Tribolium castaneum: one gene and its partner. The protein of the gene in region 1 purifies or fractionates together with the protein of each later gene. This does not show direct contact. Links are inferred from orthologs where the notes say so. Each region holds a gene or a part of one and is shown on either strand. Other genes may lie near its edges.

Region 1 (3,546 bases):
TCGTCTCATAAATTTTTGAAATAAAAGAAAAAGCAGCTTATTAGCCATTCCATTTTAACGTGCGGGACACTGCCCCAATTTTAGATTTTTTTTCAAAATTTATCAACAGAATCAGGGAAGTGACTTTTCCTTTATAGGAGCTTTGTATCAGTCAAACTATTTGCAAACTTCAGTGGGAGCGACATATGTAAAATTTCAAATACGAGCAGGAAAAAGAAATACATGACGGATGAGACACAAAAAAAAACCTCATATGTTATAGTTATAAAATTATGTTAATTTAAAAGGTAAATTCCAACAATTATTTTTAAAGTAAAAGGTGGAACTACGAAAGCGAAGAACAAAGGCAGTGTGCAACGACTGCGTATAATGCTATTATCAAGCTTGCACCCATTATAATATAAGAATTATTTCAAAACAATGAGTCGGAGGTTGTGTTTTTTATAAAAAATCTCTTTATGTAAGGGGGATAATGAGTAATGACTCAATAAAAACAAGGATTTATAAAACAATTTATTTTATAAATTAGATGCAGTTTTATTTTTGCCAAAGAGCGAGCTATACAACTCATTTTTCGCGTCATCTGTCCATAAATTCCCATCAATGGGCGCCATAAAATTAACCAGTTTGCTGTGTACAGCATATCGTATTTTGCGTCCCTTTGTAGCTCTTGTGTCGATTTTTCGCTTCATTTTGCTCCTTAGATTCTGTAACTGAATCCACTGGCGACTTAACTGCACTGGATCGCTGACGTCGGCTGACTTGACTTCAATTAGTTCGCGCAAAAGCTGATGGTAGAAATCGTCGTCATCAAAAATCTCGCTATTGTACTCCTCACTGTTTCTATCTTCTGTTTCTTCTTCACCTAGGATGGAGTACTGGGAACGCTTGAGTTGCGTTTTCTTGATAAGCTTATCTTTGTTACTCAAATTGTATTCAATCTGGTCTAGAACTGAGTGCGAAGTGGTGCCCCCTTTGACCACAACGCGCGTTTTGTCGTTCCATTTCTGTATGATGTTGTTTCTGTAATCTTTGTATTTTTTGTGTTTTTCGAAAATTTCGCTTTCGTAATATTCTAATTTTCGTTTCTTCTTGGGAGTATCGCTTACAATTTCTTCTTCGCCGCCTGATTCTTCAACATCTGTATCACTTGGAATTTCTTCATCATCAGGATCTTCAACTTTTTCACTTTGAGCGCTTGTCTGATCCAAATTTTTTGTTTCAGGATACTGTTTATACAGCAATTTTTGTAACAATAGTAGTTTATCTAAGACATCACATAATTTGTTTTTTGTCTCATTAACTTTATTGGAAAAATCGGGATCAGATTGTTTGATTTCTTTAAACTTCTCGGGTTGTGGCATTTTATTGGCAGTCAAGAGACATTTTTGGAGTTGGATTCGTACTTCTAGGAGGTTTTCCCACATTGCCATTTGGTTTCTCACACAAAGCCCTTTTTTAATTTGTTTTGAAACATTCGTGTCCGAAATGTGTTTGAAATTCTCTTCAGTGTTATCATTTTCCGACAACTCCCCATCATCTTCTGATAAATCTTCTGCAAAAATAAAATTTTAACGTTTGTCCTGCCAAAAAAAAAGAAACCAAGCAGACCATTTGATTCTGGACCTTCAGAGTCTTCTTGAGACGATTCTTCTTCCACGTCCTCGCTCTCGCTCGCACTGCCTTTTGTTTCAGTTTCTTCTTCTTCTTCTTCCTTATCGTCCAAACTTCCCAGCGATGCGTCTGTAAAGTAACTTTTGAGCACAAGAATTTTAAAACCAAACATTTGTAACAAACCCTCTGAATCGGAATCCCTCAAATTCTTCCGACTGGTCTTTTTTCCGGCATACTTCTCATCTAAATCAGCTAACAGGTCAATGTTTTTTTGACGAAATTTGCTCAAAATTTCATCTTCTTGTTCGTTTTCTTCAACATCGTCTTCCACAACTTTTGCAACCGTGGCGTCATCAACCTCATCTTCAGGGTCAATACTCGAAGGGGCGGTATTCAAAATACCTGCTATCTTATCAGCTAAAGTTCCAGTCGATTTCTTTTTCATTTTAGGAGAAATTAAAACCAGACACGTTTTTATATTTGGAGGTTATATTATTCTGTCACGATTCCGTCACTACACTCTTTTCTAAGGCACATGAAAGCTATTAAGTTCGAAACCAAAATTATGCGATCCACACACAAAATAACTAATCGTAGCTTATCACAAACAAGTGATGGCATTACGTTAGCTGCAATTTTGAAATTTGTACATGTACAAAGTAAAAATAAACTATTGTTAAAAAAAAATTGAATATTTCGACCAGACACTCATGCGGACACATATGGCAAGGTTCTGACAGGTGACAGTTGTTTAACCTAATTTTTTTCAAACAAGACGATGAGCGTAAGTTATAAACAAACTTTATTTCATTTCTATTTAAATAATTTAGGACTCTTCGGACACTTCATGGTCCCGTTTTGCCAAATATTACGACCCGATAAAAATTGGTTCCATCGACGGCACCGACACGGAGCCCCACGACAAAGGCATCGTCCGAGCCCTAAATTCCGAATACCACCCCAACCGCCACGTTAAAGGCCGTCCCGAGTGCACAATTTTCGTCAGCCGTCTTAGTCTCAAAACCACAAAAGACACAATTAAGGACATTTTTTCCAAATATGGCCCTTTGCGCCGATTTCGTTTAGTTAAAGACATAGTCACAGGGATGCCCAAAGGCTACGCTTTCATCGAATACGAAAATGAGCTCGACGCTGAGGAAGCGTATTGTAAAGCGAATAAAATGAATATTGATGGAAACATAATTTTCGTAGATTTTGAATGTGAGAGGTTATTAAAGGGGTGGCGACCGAGACGACTTGGAGGCGGCTTTGGTGGGAAAAAGGAGTCCGGACAGTTGCGGTTCGGTGGCCGTGATCGACCCTTCAAAAAACCCATCAGTTTGGAGATAAAAGAGAGGCGGGAAAGGAGTAGGAGAGACAGGAGTGAAAGTAGACGTGATCGTAAATAATGTTTTATATTGAAAAGTGTTTAAACATACATATTTTAACAAAAAAAAAATAATAATAAACTAAAAAACTCTTCTTTATGTATTACTTGCAACACTACTGAACGTCTGCTAGAACAAGCGAGTTATTTGAATATCCTATGATTCACTTAATGCCTTACCAACTTTCTCAATTTCACTATCAACCGGACGGTGAATATCAGCCTCTTGTAATTCTTCTTCCTGCTCAAGTCGGTCAATAATAGCTTGACGCGAATCTGTAATTTTATTACAACTAAGAAAATTTCTAAATAAAACAAACTTACATGGCTCGGCACACAAAACAAAAACTTCCCTATTATTCAAATGGATGCAATCCTCCCTAAATTTCCTAACAATGTCATTGAAACCGTCCCAAAAGTTAACAGACCCCGCCGGTAATTTACAAACCGATTTGAATTTCTTATAAATCTCATCTGCCTTTGTCCGTACTTTCTGTGCGTCGTTGTTGAAAGTTTCAAGCTCCTCAGGTGGTAAATTCCACTCT
Region 2 (4,141 bases), on another chromosome or scaffold:
GCATATGATGTAACAACAACACCAGAGACGGGAGAAAAGCTAAGTGAATTGTGTAATCTATCTGTTGAACTAGCGAAGACAAAGTTTAAGACTGAAATTTATGCTGTCGTTAGCGATAATGCAGCAAACATGTTGAAAATGGGAAAATTGACGAGTGATTTAATGCATACTACTTGCAATAGTCACACAGGAAATCTTCTTGCCAAAGACTTAATTTCCAAAGAATTATGTTCCAAAGTAATCACTATCTTAAAAGAATTTAAACATCCTAATCTCGAAAAGGAGCTGCAAAGTCAGGGAGGATCAAAGATAAAATTAGCTGTCGATACTCGGTGGTGTACCTATAGAGACTCATTTTCTTGCTTGATCAAAAATTTAAAATTTATGAAAAAACTTGCGGCAGAAGAAACTATAAAACTTAAACAAGAAATAATTCAGTTACTATTTGACGATGAGTTCATCGATGAAGTTAAAACAACAATTGAAGTATCTAACCCGGTTTGCAAATTAATTAATGAGTGTCAGTCTAGCAGCTGCACTATTGCCGATGCTTGTGAGAAATGGACTCATTTACAACTGCCTGCGGAGTTTGAAGATGTTTTGAAAAGAAGAAGAGACATGGCGCTAAATATTTACTCTTTAACATCAAATTTTCTTCATCCTCTTTATAGAGGAAGGTCTTTGAATCAAACCCAGGTTGATATGGTCCATGACTATTTGGTAGCTACTTTAAGTGCAGAAGGTTTAATGAGTTTTCACCAATTTTGTTCTTCGGAAGATATTTTTGAAACCTTAGAACGTAAAAACATTTGTTGCCCAAAAGTTTTTTGGGGATTGGCCGAGAGAAAGCACCCAGAGTTGGCTAGTGTAGCTTTAAAACTTATCAATATACCAGCCAGCTCAGCTTCCTTGGAGCGTGTGTTTAGTAATTGGGCATTTATTCACAATGATTTGAGAAATCGTTTGGATGCTGATCATTCGAGAAAAATAATGCATTGTTATTACTCCCTGAAGATGCGGGAAAGTAACGAAGTCAGTTAAAAAAGAAACATTGGTTGTGTTTTTTTCCTCGAGATTAATTCTTTTATTTTGTTTTTTGAGAATAGACTTTATTTTGTTTTTTTGAGAATAGACTTTATTTATTTTTTTTTTGAGAATAGATTTTATTTTTTGTTTATTACTAATCTGTTTTGCCAAATAAAGAAAATAATAGAAAATTGTCTTGTTTTACTGTTTACTGACTACAATTTCTGATGGTAAAAGAACTTACTTAATTAATAATGATATGTATTTAGTAATAGAACATTTTTGATTCATTTTTCTCTTCTTGAGAACAAATAAATGCTACCAAATTTTGACGTAAAAAATAGTGTAATTTTTCGGTAATTTATTTGGATTGATGACGTAGAAAATGTGCAAAAACTACGCGTCGTTATACTGTAGAACGACGTTTCAATATCTACGTCACAACCCTGGTCACAAGCCGTACCCCCACCCTTCCGATATCGTTGATCAAAAAAGCTCCCTTCAATATAAAAGTTGTGCACGTGCTGAGCTTATTTTTACAAAATTTACGCGTTGTTATGTATTTTTAAGTTACGAAATCGACGGATCAAAATGGTTCAGGTACGTATCGAGTGTTTTCCGTAACAAAAAGTGGTGAAAACGTGTCGAAAAGCGCGCTTTTTCGGCGTAAAAACTACCCTCGATTTTTTCTGTCAAGCTTTTGATATAAAAGATGGCGAACAGATTTTTATGCAAATGGAGCCCATTTTTCATCTCGATGAAAATTCATAATTCGCGAGAAAATTTTTCCGGCTTTCGGGACGGAAACGCGGGACTTTTCTAACCTAGAATTTAAACAAAATAAATGATTTTTGCATGGTTTTGGGTTTTAGGCACCGGATGTTAGTATCGGGCACCGGGATTTTCCCCAGGCGTTAGTTTTGCTAAATGAAATGAATGTGAGTGCACAACACGTCGCCTCGTTGGTTGATAACATGATTCAGAAGGTGCGGAAGGGAGAATTATCAACAGATCAGGGTCTTAGCTTTCTAGAAATGAAGTACAACATGTTGTTGAGTTATTTGATCAACTTGACTTTCGTGGTCTTGCGGAAATGTTCAGGGGAAAAAATTGAAGGGGACCCGTGTATTGATAGATTAATCGAAATCAGGACTGTACTTGAGAAAATCAGGCCCATTGATCACAAGCTCAAGTACCAGATTGATAAACTCGTCAAGACTGCCGTTACGGGAACCAACGCCAACGACCCGACCACGTTTAGGGCAAACCCTGACAATCTCATTGACCATTCGGAAAGTGAGGAAGAATTAGAAAAAAACACGGGAGAAAAGGGCAAAAGCGACATCTATGTACCTCCAAAACTATCCGCAGTTCACTATATGGGTAATTACTTGATTAAAAATCTTGATTCAGTTAATGATTTTGCGACAAATAGGTGACGAAACGGCACAAGAGCGCACTAAAAGGTTGCAAGAACGCACGAAGAAGCACATGTTGTCCTCTTCCATAATGCAAGACTTGCGGGAGGAGTATCTGGATGCGCCAATCGAGGTGTCTCAGACCAGCCGCGCTCAGCAAATCCTGTCCAAGCAGCAGAAGGAGAAGGAGGAGTACGAGGAGGAGTACATGACTCGCCTCCCCGTCAGCAAATCAGAGAAGCACAAACGCCGTCAGCTGACCACTCTGGGCAGTCTCGGTGACGAAATCACCGACTTTGGCCCCTCCCCCAGCTCCGCCGGCAAAAGGAAAAGGAAACGTCCGATCAAATCAAAAGGGAAGAGTTTCAAACGGAAACGATTCCATTGATTAGTTGGGTCGTCCCGACCGATCATTAAATCAAGAGCTTGAAACCCCAGTTGCCTATGGTGACCTTATGATTTTCAAACGTTTTCTCATTGTCAAATTCAAAATTGTCTAGATTAGGGTTAATGGTTGTGTTCTTTGTTTTTCGTGTACTAGGATTTTGGCATGCACTTTGGATGTTTTTCAAACTGAGTTCGTTATAGACGTCATAATATAGACTGAAAGTATTTTTACATGATGTTATCAAACTGTTGCGCTACATTCTCACGTTACAGACTGTAATGGAACAGTGAATTAATTTTTGTACTTGGACGTAGGTTCTCGTAAAATTGTCTCGGGTGGGACTGCGTTTTGAGTACGTTCCCGATTGCCTTGTACAGGTTATATTTATCGTTGTTAACGTTAACCACAGTTTATTTTTCAGACTGGATTATCGGTTGTTGAAATATTAAGACAATTGCAGTTTTCGGTTAGTTTTCACGTTGTTAAACATTTTTTTATTGTTGGCTTTTTATTTTGTTAGGTTTGCTACATTGCCACAGTTCAGGTGGGTTTTTTACGTCTCGTCTTGTGTTTTAGTTGTAGTGATATGTTATTAACTAGATATAAAAATGTATTCAGTAGCTCATGTCCTTTGGTGTACTCGTATTTCGTAGAATATTTAGGTATGCTACTGAAAGTGACAAAAATTCTCAGCTCAAAAATTTATTAATAATGTATCGTCATAGGTTATAAGTTTATGGCTTTAATCAGTTTCATTATACATTCTTTATTTGTAGACATGAATTTTTTTAATATATATTTTTTTCTTATTGAGAGTTTGTGTTTTCCCCAGTCATCGGATTGTAAGAAGCTGTGCGAAAACCCTTATATTTCTGCAATTCGCAAGTTTCTCGCCCAAAACTATCACCGTAGAATTTTTCACTGCTAAGATCGGGCGGTTCGTGGCGATATTTCTGATTCCGCATAAACGGAATTTTCGGAAAAGCCAGCTACAACTCGTAATCAAGACTAGTTTTTTCCCCCCATAAAATTACCCTTTGCATAACATACGGACGCGGCACTTGATAACTGTGCTGCATGGTGGTCAAATATTCATCAGCACATATCGTGCGACACTGACTTTCCGGATATTCCGTCAAACATTCGGCATTTCTGCAAAAAACCCGTAAAAAGTGCCCCAATATGAATTCATCAATACTCGTTGAAAGTGTAAAAACTCTTCATTCTTTTGGTCCGATAAATTCTGTCTTTGATGAAGACTTGTTGTAACATGTCCCCGGTCGTGGTCCTGAACGAGTTATCATCGTTT

The links. Proteins that work in one complex are often made in the same cells at the same time.
Region 2: the proteins of protein AATF (region 1) and neuroguidin purify together in Homo sapiens (affinity purification with mass spectrometry; 3 studies listed by BioGRID and IntAct, with this or other methods). This does not show direct contact. The link is inferred for Tribolium castaneum from reciprocal best matches to the Homo sapiens genes AATF and NGDN.

What each region holds. Positions count from the first base shown.
Region 1 is NC_087396.1:16,779,539-16,783,084, forward strand, and holds protein AATF, read right to left. Parts: upstream 2,060-3,546; coding exon 1,798-2,059; intron 1,744-1,797; coding exon 1,612-1,743; intron 1,556-1,611; coding exon 519-1,555; 3' UTR 501-518; downstream 1-500. Other genes in the region: U11/U12 small nuclear ribonucleoprotein 35 kDa protein, read left to right, coding at 2,393-2,398, 2,445-3,023; uncharacterized protein Jasper, read right to left, coding at 3,118-3,131, 3,182-3,277, 3,326-3,546. UniProt on the Homo sapiens protein: Part of the small subunit (SSU) processome, first precursor of the small eukaryotic ribosomal subunit.
Region 2 is NC_087398.1:5,108,969-5,113,109, reverse strand, and holds neuroguidin, read left to right. Parts: upstream 1-1,478; 5' UTR 1,479-1,617; coding exon 1,618-1,626; intron 1,627-1,898; coding exon 1,899-2,409; intron 2,410-2,461; coding exon 2,462-2,832; 3' UTR 2,833-3,638; downstream 3,639-4,141. Other genes in the region: uncharacterized protein LOC103313152, read right to left, coding at 3,639-3,821, 3,867-3,984, 4,031-4,141. UniProt on the Homo sapiens protein: Part of the small subunit (SSU) processome, first precursor of the small eukaryotic ribosomal subunit.